Linked DNA regions of Oryzias latipes. The protein of the gene in region 1 interacts with the protein of each later gene in a pairwise test. Links are inferred from orthologs where the notes say so. Each region holds a gene or a part of one and is shown on either strand. Other genes may lie near its edges.

Evidence for each region.
Region 2: the proteins of zbtb25 (region 1) and sephs1 interact in binary tests that used the Homo sapiens proteins (3 or more experiments, as listed by UniProt). The two-hybrid records come from large-scale screens. The link is inferred for Oryzias latipes from reciprocal best matches to the Homo sapiens genes ZBTB25 and SEPHS1.

What each region holds. Positions count from the first base shown.
Region 1 is NC_019882.2:12,021,616-12,028,680, forward strand, and holds zbtb25 (zinc finger and BTB domain-containing protein 25), read right to left. Parts: upstream 4,812-7,065; 5' UTR 4,485-4,811; intron 4,473-4,484; exon of another isoform or gene 4,129-4,472; intron 3,815-4,128; 5' UTR 3,808-3,814; coding exon 3,635-3,807; intron 3,232-3,634; coding exon 2,079-3,231; 3' UTR 563-2,078; downstream 1-562. UniProt on the Homo sapiens protein: May be involved in transcriptional regulation.
Region 2 is NC_019864.2:20,626,355-20,631,757, forward strand, and holds part of sephs1 (selenide, water dikinase 1), read right to left. Parts: intron 4,764-5,403; exon of another isoform or gene 4,715-4,763; 5' UTR 4,688-4,714; coding exon 4,592-4,687; intron 4,494-4,591; coding exon 4,397-4,493; intron 4,221-4,396; coding exon 4,117-4,220; intron 4,010-4,116; coding exon 3,902-4,009; intron 3,028-3,901; coding exon 2,873-3,027; intron 2,791-2,872; coding exon 2,700-2,790; intron 2,617-2,699; coding exon 2,517-2,616; intron 1,606-2,516; coding exon 1,393-1,605; intron 839-1,392; coding exon 624-838; 3' UTR 1-623. UniProt on the Homo sapiens protein: Synthesizes selenophosphate from selenide and ATP.

The DNA.
Region 1 (7,065 bases):
GTGTCCACCTTTACATTTTATGAATAACTTTTCTAAGGTGATGTTATTTATCAAAAAAGATGCATTATCTAAATGTAAAAAAAAATTAACTTTGAAAATGTTGCTTCAGCAAAACTAGTTTAGTTCATTAATGTTAAAAAATAAGACTTTAATTCATAGAATTTGACAGATGTTTTAATGTTTACATAAAACCAACAAGTCAGTTTAAAGATGATTAGAAACAAAAACTCAGGTAGACATTTTAGGATTTGGGTAAATAATCCAGCTTTCTTTTAATTATGTTTTATTTGGACTGAATCAGATTTAAATTATCATAAATATTAAAAATGTATTAGATTACAACAAATTAGATTAACTTAATGAGACATCGGTTTTGAACTGGCACTATGAATATCCATTTGAAAATCCTCTCTGCTTTATAATGTATAATTAAACTATATCTACATTTTTGTCTGTCTGTAGCCATGGAGAGGAACAGATTATGGGGACTGTAGTTTATGATGGAGTTTAATATGGGATTTGAAAGGAGTTTGTTGCGATGTGCTTAAAGAGCAGTCATAGGTCTGGTGGAAAAAGACATTTATTTACAAAAAGTGAAACTTCCATCAACAATAAACAACTATATACAAAAAAATCTTTTTTTTTTACAGCAAAAACACAGACGATCAAAACATTCACTCGCTCAGCGATCAGTAATCGATGGACCTTCAGCTGGAAATCCTCTCAGTAAATGCTGATCATGTGTTTCCAGGAATTTGACATTTGTTGGTATAAAGTACACTTTTTCCGTTGATAAGTCAATCATTTCACCCTCCTCAGACTAATGCGGGATGACAAGTCATCAAACTAAAAATAAAAACAAATAAATAAATAAATACTTAAGAGAAAAAGAATTTCACAAAAATATTATGGTAAAAATATAACATATTTCTCCAGTAATGTAAACATTTCTCATATAGCAAATTTGAAAGCTTCCCGAGATATGAAAGAAAAAAAAAAGAGGAAGAAAGAGAGGAGTAAACGAAGACAGGATATGAAAAATATGTGAGAAAATATGGACTACAAACTCAAAAACAACAGAACGAAAAAAGGAAAATTGGAATTAAAACAAAATAACAGGAAATGAGAAAGACTGAGAACAAATAAAGGAAAATACACAGAAATAAAACGACTAAAGAGGAACAAAATAGTCACAGTAAACTTCTCTGTTTCTCTAAAAAAAAAACTCTTATTTTGAAAGGACATCACACATGTTTACTTATTCCTTTTTTTACTCAACCGTGTATGTAAAGCTAACAGAGAAAACGATGAATGAGCCATGAAAAGAGCGGTTCATCTTCTTTTTGAGGTGAGGAACTTTCCTTCATCTGTTCCTGCCTCCATCAGGAAACACTGTTTGACATTTTCTGCTCAGTCTTATCTCCCTTAATCCCAACGAAAACACGTCATTTCTCACTTTGATCTGTTAAAAAAAAGCTTTGTCTTTTATTCGCCTTTTGAGTTCTCTTGCTTAAAAAAAGTTGGTCGTATAGAGACAAAAAAAAATAATTCTAAAATGTGTTTTTTTTCAGGTCGGTGCTTGAAGCTCATGATGGGCGAGGATGATTCTGTAAATCTGAAATGAAGCAGAAAGCCGACATTTGTCGATTTTTGTCTCAGTTTAAACTGCATCTGAAAGGAATTGCTGGCAGACAGAGCTGCGGATTGTCAAGAAGCTCTAAAGGAGAACGACTGTCAGACGCAACGCCAAGGCACTACTGCGTCTGACGGCACCGAAGTCCAACGGCTCGCCTTTGTCCTCCACATAACCACTAGTGCGGAATCACAACGTGTGTGCCACTTCCTGTTCCCACACGTTAATGAAAACCAAAGAATCAGAGAGTCTGATGGTGTTTTCCCATTTAAGATTGATGGTCCAGAAGCGCAAAACACGACCTAGACCCACTCCGCCAATCCTCGAGGCTCTTCAGAGTCCAACCAACACCATGACCACATGATTGACTCACATCACACACCTGCACAGGTACAGAGCCATTAGAAAACAAACATCCAAACAGTCTTGTCACCGTTGGGCGCCATCACTCAACAGGAACGCCATCCACGCTCTCCTGGGAGACCTCCGAGTCCAGTGAGTAGCAGGAGCTGCCGTTGTCCTGAGCATCCCTGTTGGCGTCCTCAGAGAGTGCCGAGGCTCCCCCCGCGTCTGTCCCACCCTCACAGAAGTGGGTGGAGCTCTGGAACAGCTGGCTGCAGAGGCGGCCGTAGCGGTGGTAACGTCCGGGCTTGCCGGTGTGGGTGTACATGTGCTCCTGCAGCTGGCTCTTGTGGGTGAAGCGCAAGCTGCAGACGGCGCAGGCAATCTTCCGTTTACGTGAGTGCAGAGTGGTGGGGGCGGGGCTGTTACTACCTCCTCCCCCCCGGCTCCTTCTCAACTCCGCTGCCAGTTGGTTGGCGAGTGCCTGGCTTTGCCTGAGCGCCTCCTCCAGACACCCTGCATCCAGCTGCTCCTGGGCCCCAGGAGGACCTTCCTCCACACCAGCGTCCAGCTCTCCACCCTGTGAAAGCCCCTCTATTAGACGGGCGGGGTTGAGGGCATGGCTAAACAGATGCTCCTGCAGGCCTTCTGGGGATGAACAGCGCTCCCCACATCGAGGACATAGCAAGACGAGTGCGTGCTCTTTGGGTTCAGCGAGGGGCCCCTGGCTTGGACTACACCCTTGACCCGGAGAACCCACAACAGTACCTTCTCTTCCCTCGCCGTCTTCCTCCTCCACACATTCCTGCTTGATGCGAGCCGAGATGTCCGAGTCGTCTCCAGAAGCCACGGAGCAGATGTTCCGCAGCGCCTGCGGGTCAGAATGAACCCCTTCCAGTCCAACGGCGAGCGACAGCTGCGAATGGGACCTTACCCCACGGTCCATGGAACTTCCATCCTCAGGGGTGCCGCGGGACACCGTCGTTGCCTTGGGAACTCCTGGCACCCCCTTGTTGGCTAGCTGGGAGGATATCTGGATGCCGTACAGATTTGACATGCGGACTGCATCTGCAGCAGCATCTGCGGTGGCCTCACCGGGTTTCCGGCACAGCTGGTAGGCGTGGAGGAACTTGATGCCCTCTTGGAGCCGGCTCTGGTCTACAGGCTGTTTGGGACACATGCCTGTGTACATGATGTGTAGGAGATAGCTGAAAACGTCCGGCTGGATGTCGGTGGGTTGAATCTTTATGCACTCACTGAGGACAAAAAACGAACATCCGGTGTTGGAGATCAAAAAGAACCAATGACAGCATATATCAATGAACACATGTGGTCACATGACTTCCGTTGGCTCCCTGCCTGTCCAGTGTGAACATCATGAGCTAAATGCACATTTTAAATCCGGGTTTGGCAGATTCTTGAACACGCGTCACAAGCCCGGTGTGTGCGTAGCTTCAAATAGGATGTTTATGGGCATCTAAAACTAAAATTGAGCCCCCATCTCATCATATTCTGCAAAAATGCAAAAATGTATCATCGACCAATTCCAAAACAAATATGGTTACAGTCCTGCTATTAAAATCAAGGACCATGTCCCTGTAACTTAGGTGTCTTTTACCAAATTAGTTTTAACTATTGAGAAAATGGAAATGTTCTCACCTGGACTGATGGATGAAGATCATTTTGAAGTAGTTGGAAAAGGCGGCCAGCACAGCTCGATGAGCTTTGAAGTAGACGTTTCCGATGGCAACGGTACAGTCACAAAGAAAGCCAAACTCTCTTTGCACGTTGAGCTGCTGCAGCAGGAAGAGGCTGTGAGACGACACCTCCATGACCCGTCTGAAACACAAACATACACCAACCCTGCTCAGTCCTGGAACCATCCGGCCAAACCTGGAACGGCAATTCTGCAGATCGTTGTTCTGGTTATGCTGCCACATGAAAGTCTAAATATTTCAGTTCCATGGCACTTTGTTTTTGAAAATAAAAAGCCCAAATTGCCTGGAGTGTCTGTGATGAGATGCTCAAGCTCCACCTGTACACCTGGCAACTGTCTGTCTCTAGGATGCTTGCACCCTCTGACATCACAGAATACATTTCAGGTCTTCCACCTCAGGCCTGAACTCAGGTGTGAAAAACAGAACTCTGAATACCTTTTAGAATGTGACCTCTGATCATACTGAAGGTCAGAAGGAAGAGGAGGAGGGGAGGAGACAATCAGGAGGAGGGCGTTTTACCCATGAACCTGGACCGCTGTGCCCCCCCGCAACATTTCTGCACGAGCACGCTGCCTCGAGCCCGACAGACTGCAGATTCCTCCATCCAGCCATTCATCCATCCTTTCATCCATCCATCCATCCTTCGTCACTCTCATCCACATGCATATAAACACTCACGCCCTCATCCCTTTCGCGTCCGCACACTCGCGCTCGTGAGCGCATTCGCGTTTGCAAACACGCCCTCTGTCCGTGCGGATCGTGCACGCGCGCCGTTAATCATCCCCTCTTACCTCGGAAACGAGCAGATTGTCTTCGGGAGCCGATTTGTCGATGCAGACACGGTCTCGCCGAGAGCCGCTTCCACCTATCGCGAGAGAATGGGTCAAAGGGCCAGATCACGTGATCTCGCGGTAAAAGATTAAATTCCAAATAATATTTTTTTTTAAAGTGTCATATGAAGACATAGAAAATCTATAAAAAAAAACTATGCATAAACAAAGGAATTATATAATCAGTGCATACAACCTCGATGACTTAGAGGAAAGTACACGTTTTAAATTAGACTCGTTTTCAATGCCAAAACATTGAAACAAAACATCTTTAAAGCAAATTCAGAAATGTATCTTTGCTTGCAGAGAAAAAATGCAAAGCTTTCAATAAGCTGCAAAGAAATTTTTTTTTGTTAATATCAAAAGGCAAATTTTTGTTTTCCCCACCGTTTTTGTTCTGAAAGTATTTATGCATTAATTTGTCTATTTTTGTGTGTGTCTCAACGTCTATAGATCAGAGTAACCTTCTCGCCTTTTCAGAGCAACAACTCTTTCCACCCTATCGATTTAACCTAACAAATGCTACAAAAAATCATTATTAATACATAAAATACTGTACTTTATTGGTATGAGCAGAAGCGCCTGTATTTTACGCATTCTAACTTGACTTTCAAATTGCTAAATTTGAAAATACACAGACAAACAAACATTTAATAAATGAATAAAGCAAGTTCTAAAATTATTGTTATTAGTATGTAATTCGGTTTTTTTGAACTCTTCTGCAAAAAATTAAAAATAAAATAAATAAATAATAAGCAGAGTGAGACGTCTTGTCACTTAATTAAACATTTAAGACGCAACTCTGTTTCAGTTTTTGAAAAACAAACAGAGTGAGTGCTCTTCATTGTTTATTGTAAAATGGGTGTATCCGGTTAGCCCGATTTAACCTCGCATCAAGCTAGACAGAAAACAGCATGTGTCGCTTCCGGAAGACTGTTTACAAAATAAAATACAATCTAGCTTATAAATATCCAGAGGAAATGACAGGACAAATTCCTGAGATGATACATACCATTAATACAATTAAACAAACAATTATTGTTTTTTTTTTAAAAAATCAAACATTTTATGAGAGCTGTTAAAGTTTTATTCTAACTCTGGAATAGTTTTGATGTAATAGAAGACTGCAGAAAAATAAAGTGCATATTGCATTTACTTTAAATATAAATAACTCAGTTTTTCTATAAACACTGTTTTCATTATCTTTAATACTATTTATTTAATTATCTGTATACGTTTTGTGCATGTGTCAGTGAAATAAACAAAAATAATTTCATTTTTAGCATGAACATTTTGTTAGTTATCTTTGTCAATTTTGCAACTGTTATTTATAAAGAAGATAATCATTTTTTTATCGATATTATTACATTATTTGCAGATATGAATCCAGTTTTACTTCGGTGGAACTGTATCTGAAAGGAAGTGTTTTATTTTGTAGGGGGGAATTGACGGAGCAGCGGTCTGTGCGGAAGTTCTTTGATCCTGCAAGGGCAGAGGCAAGTGAGGCTGTCTCGCTACATCTCGGTTCTCTGTCTGAACTCCCCAACCCGTCCGGGGGGGAAATCTCCGGCGTGCCGGGAACATCTGCTCTCTGCCGCCGACAGCAGCAGCAGGCCTCGGGTTCCCACGGTGAGTAGGTGTGTTTGTCCGCAACCTTTCAAGCCGCATCGCTGCGAGAGCTCCAAGAAAAGAGAAAAGAAAAATCCTCGCGGCCTGCTCCTCTGGTGCAGCCGGGGCAAGAGCTATGGCAATGCGGGGGTGGCGGGCTGTTTGCGGAGGAGATGTGGCTCTAAAAGCGTGGCCATTGACGCGCGTTTGAGTTTCATCCGTTTAAGACTTTCAAAATAAAATTCACTGCCTAAATGCTATCACATTACTTAGCCATAAAATTACGATTTCTATGTAGGTTATATGTATTTTCAAGTTATTACTCTTTTTGTAAAAAGTTCCTGTCCACTTAACCAAAGCACACCACAACGTTTTAAAATATATGAACCACTTTGTTTTATTATGAAAGTGTACTTTTCTTTTCCTGTTTGGTCAGCCCTGCTTATGGTGGTGTTGATAGAGCTAACAGTAGGCTCCATTTTGGCCGCAGCCGGCCTCTCCCTGCTGCGTGCCTGAACACGACATGTCTCTCTCTCCCCCCCAGTCGGTGACGGTTTGAGCGCCTCTGAAGTGTTCCACGGTTCCGGGGGGGGCTTTAGCGGTGCAAGGCGGGGGCGACTAGGGACAGGGGTGGGGGCGTCAGTACGGAACCGGATGCTAGCACAGGTCAGGCTTCTTTACTGTAGACTTGATAAAACATTGATTGACACCTGAGAACTTTTACGAAAGGACTTCCCATTGACCCCATTTACAGGGTTTACTCACCCAGAAACCAGACAACCTTCAACTGGGATGTTTTAACTTAAGAGACTTTACACGACCCCTGCGTTACTTTGAAGTTACTCTCTGTACCTGCGGAAGTAGACGTTACATTATAGTGACAAAGCATTTTACTTTCAGATTAATTTTGTTTTAAATTACCACTATCATTTTT
Region 2 (5,403 bases), on another chromosome or scaffold:
AACAGGGAAAAGAACCCATCTGTAAATGTAGTATTTATTCGTTTACGCGGGGATGATACAAAATGTCAACATAATATAAAAAGACAAACCAAAAAAAAGCCATTCTGGTCACACTATGTCTTTCAAGGCATCACTTACAGCAATGAACTAAAACTAGGCTTTCAACTGTACAAAGTGTGAGGACGACAAACAAAAACGCGTATACACTGCGTGTTTGTTTGACCAAAGCAACTTTAAGAGACGAACAAGAAAGACCTCCTAAGATTCAAAATGAATCAACAGTATCAGATTTTTGTCTTCATCATGGTTCTCTAAACAGAAGCTGCCTGTCAGTCAAGCACACTTAATTAAACAGAACAGACATAAAAGGCCAAATGGATTCTGGCATAATGTAGTTCCTGCCAATTACTGATGGGGGCGCTGCAGGCCGGGTCCACTGAGGGTGTAGCCTGCGCCAGAGCCACTGTGGGGCGCTGTTTCCACGCTGATTCAGCCCAACCCAGTCTTTGTTGAGTACTGACTATTTTGTAAATATATTTCAACACTAGAAGGATTTTGTAGTTGGGTCTAAAATCCGTCAACCAAGCTTTGGGGTTCGGGTCTGTGATGCAGCCCAGCCGGGATTAGGATGTTGCACCAGGAGTCGGGTTGACATTCTGCGTGGCCGCTTGCGGCGCCACTTCTATGATTCGGGGCTTGTCAATGATGCGAGCGGTGCGGTTTCCTTTCTCTACGATCCCGATGATCCACGCTTGGTGTCCCTCTCCGTATTTGGGGGATTTAATCTCAGCGCAGAAGCGGGCGGCCTGCTCCCGGGGCAGACAGATCAGCAAGCCTCCTGCACGGAAACATTTTTTTAAATAACTTTCCAGTTTTCTCTTTTAGAAAACATTTGTCATTACTTTTTAACCAATCCCAAAACATATTGTGACTCCCTTTACTTTTCAACATAAAAATAAAGATACAGCATGATGTTCTTTAATAGTTCTTTCTGTGTGCTCCTAAAAACTAGACATGGGTCCTCCAGGCCAGATTTATAAAAGGTCAATTGTTTTTTCTATGACAAAATAGTATCAGTTGAGCAGCACTTCTGAGTTCTGCTGCAACAAAAAACTGTTAGGACATTATGAGCCCCTTTTAATGCAGGAAAAATGTCGAGTCTGGTATTCTACAAATTAAACCTACATCCTAAAATGTCAAACTTTCATAAGCAAAATGTTATTAAAAAAAAAGGGGGGGATTTCTTTACATAAAAACAGATAAAAACGTGCTAAAAGGCAAAAAAAAAAACCAGGTCTGTGGTTAAAATCAACATCATTCTCTGCCAACTCTGTGGAGCTTAAACTAAAAGGACATCCGCTTGTGCAAAGATAGAACCAGGTGACCACACACCTGATGTTTCGGGGCAGGTGCCATGCATGAGTCCAAACATGTTCCCGCAGGCCTTGGAGACAGCAGCCATCTTGGCGAGAACTGGGAGGTTGTGGATGACAAAAGAGACCTCGCTGCGCTGTTGTCGTGCCAACGTCTGAGCGTGTCCCAGGATGCCAAAGCCTGTGATGTCGGTGGCTGCATGGGCGTTGAAGGTGTGCATAAGGCCAGCAGCTGCGAAGGGAAAGAAAATGTGTTTGCTTTTTTTTTTCCTACTGTGATCAGAGAACAATAAAATAAACCCTTGAAAAAAATCTCCTAAAGATTGTTTTTTGTGTTTTTAACTTGCACTTGTGGCCTTTTTCTGATGAGAGGTCATCTATAAAGAAAATTAGTCTTAAAATTGCCTTACCGAGTATTTCTTTATCAAAATGTTAGGATTCAGGAGCAGTTAAAAAAAATGCTGTTAGAAAATTGTGACGTAGAAAATACGCTGGGTGTGTCACAAGCCTCCTGCTATACTCTGCAGCAGGTAGGGGAAGGGGGGCGGGGTTGCTCAGCTTCAATAGTCCAATAGTCACTCAGAGGTGAATTTCTAATGAACTATTGTTGCCCTGCAGAAACTATGTCTCAGAAAACAACACAGGTTTTTGGGGATTTTGATGAAAAATGGCACAATAATAATTAAAAGACCACTAGGAGCGCTTTTAAAATAGTTGAAAAGATGATCAGAGTGGGACTTAATAGTTTTTATATTTAGTAAATGTTAAATCAACAGCTAAACCTATAAACAACCAAAAAATGTTGGTTTTCCTTCTTTTAGAAAATGCAAAAAAGTAATAAAAAGTAAGTAGCGATTATAATGGCAAGTAGATATCATCATTTTCTTTTATAACATTTCTGATCAGTTTATAAATCAATATCTCAAATAGATTTGATATATCTATGTATCTGTATTGCCTTTTTTTTCTCTGTTTTTTATCAATTGCTTAAAAGTCAGTCAATCAATCAAAATATGTGGGCCGCAGTGCAGTCCTGTTACTGCAGGGGCTGCTGTGGTTCAAAATGGAACTCCTGAACAATTGATCCAGTAGTGGTTGAAAACCAAATTTATGTAACATCCCTGATTTCTTTTTTTTTTTTACCTGTTCTGTTAAGCCGAGCCATGTTCATCATGGCTTCATGGTAGGCTAACTCCACATCTTCCTGGGTTACCACCAGCTTGATCTTGTTCCATTTTTCAGGCTAGGAGAAAAGAATTCTATCAATCTTTATTGACAACCTCAGAAACAATTATTCTTACCTGAGCATTATAATGGGACACGTACAATGTCTAACCACTGGTGCACCGCGACAGCCACTTGTGTTCCAAGCGGTTTGGTTAACACCAAAACATCTCCTGGCACTGCATTATCTGGCCTAAAAAAAGGACAGGTCTCCATTATGGTTTTACCCTTAACCAGAAAAAACACAACACTAGGAAGCAAAAGCCTTTTTTTACATGATAAACTCGTTGGGCTGACAGACTGTTGTTGCTACTCCTCCCATCACGACCCAGGGATTGAGAACGGTTTGACCTCCTGTTACAGATGTGCCCGCCTCCTCTGACGCGTCCTTAAATCCTTGAATGATCAGTGGGATGACTTTGTCTCTTTCCTAAAAACACAAAGAGTTGTGAACAAAGATCCAGAGAATAATATATGTTATTTGTACTTGAAAGGACTGTATTGCTAAATCTCAATAGATCATGATCCAATCACTTGAATACAGCAGGCTTGGTCCTCTGCCCTGCCCACATCAAACTGCTGTTGCTGCTCTCACTGAAGGCAGGTGAGCAGAACCTGCAGCACCCTTTTAGCCAGAATATGTGCCCAAGCTTTTCAGAAAAATGCGCAAAACCTTTGAGGTACAGACTTAGATTTTAGCCATTCAGCAGGTCAGATGGGTGTAATCGAAGAAAAACTTTAGTGACGCCACACAACCGACAAGTGCAGAGGAAAAAAGTGTATTTAGAGGATTTTTTGATACAAAAAGCATGACGTGATAAAAAAAGTCCAAGTCTTTATACTGAAACGGCCACCAAGGTTTAAAAAAACAACAACATAACAAGCTCATACTTTAGAGGTGCTTACATCAGCTTTGCTTTTTTCCTGAGACAGCACCTCTCAGTGTTCCATAAATCACAAATAATGTTCAATTATGATGAATGAGGGTCACAATTCAGGTTTCATTTTCAAAATGTTGTCAACTTTCTCTATACTAACGTTTTCGTGTGATTATTGCAACTTATTTAGTTTGTTTGTTTTTTGCTTGCATTTCTGACATCACTAGCACAGAAAATTGTTTGTTTTACTGTCTTCAGATTGGACTATGTGTTCCTGAGCATTAAACTGTTTATGAATGGTTTATTTACAAGATATGAACACTTGTTAAAGAGTAAATATTAGTAGCAGATGGTGAACAAACACCATCCCAAAAAGAAAAGTTAACCTCTGTTTCTCAGAAACATGATCTACAGGAAGTCTCTTACTTTCTCCGACATTTTGTTGCTGACTCCCAGAAGCATCAGCATGTTATCACATTCTGTTACTCCCATGGCGTAAAGGTCACTTAGAACATTGGCACAAGCAATTCTTCCCTAAAAAATAAAATAAAAAAGGGACAAATGAAAGTACAAGAGCGTTTTGAGACAACAAAACCAAAGGGTAGCCAGTCAATCATTCCAGATACAGGTGAGGTCCATACCATCATGTAGGGGTCATCTACAATAGGATAGATGTAATCTGTTGTTTGGACAAGGGAAAGACCACCATGTCTGAGAGGAATCACACATGTGTCCATTCCTATGCCTACAACACAGAGAAAGGGGTTGTTGTCAGACAACAAACACAATAGTTGTGCACTTTCTGACTGAATGTCCTTAAAGCATGAATGTCTTTGGATCCGATTTAGCAAGATACTCTTTTACAACTTATTAATAAGTATGAAAAAGTCTTAAATCAAATTTAAGAGTAGAAGATTTTACCTAATCGAGGCATAACTGCCCCCAGGAACTGTTCATCCTCTTGATAATGGTTTTCCTGTAAGCTTTCTAGCAACTTCTGTAACACATCTTGGGGGACCTGTAGTCATTAAAAAAAAACAATGCACCCAAATTACAATATATCTTCTATTTAAATCCTTCTTTTATCCAAAGTAGATTATAATGTAAACATATTACCTTACAGCCTGTGCCTTTGAGCTCGGTGAAGCGTGTAAGCCTGAAGTTTTTGTCCAGCTCATAGCTTTCGGGGTTAAAAGATTCCCTCACGGACATGTCTGAATAAATTCTGGCTCCTCGCCACTAAAACCACATCAGTCACCAGGGTGAACACACGTATGTAGAGACAGGACTGAGGGTCAAAAGACAAGAAACTACAAGCTGATGGATCACACTGTAGTGCCAACACATTCACCCAAAAAAAACCTTCAAACTGCATTCTTCATCGATTTCTGAAAAGATTTAGTATTATGTAAACACATATGTCATAACATATGTTTGTACCAGGAAACAGTCATATTTAGGTTTTAGTCATTTTCCTTCAAAAAAAAAAAAGAAAATTACAAAAACAACAATTATTGTTAATTTGATCTTTGAATATCATTTGAGCAAAAGTCAAAAAATGAAATGTTTACTGTATGCCTTTAAGCTTTGATATAAAGATCTAGTAAGTTATTTCAGATTAAATAAAATAAGTAGAACTTCTATTTATGTCATGTCATTTCAGTTCCTAATCTCCCCCTTATTCCTTTTACAGCAATTAATTTGTGGCCAAATATATTTATATGTTTTAACAATTAGTAGTTAAGTCAGACATCACTTCTTACAAGTCTGAAATTGTATGTAAATTACAAAGAAACCCCCAAAACAATGACATGTAAGGACTGTCATACATGAAAGATCAATTAGTCAAATCACCAACTATTGTGAACATTATAGAAATGCAGACATCATTGCAACATATATCCAGTCCATCTGTCATGTATGACAAG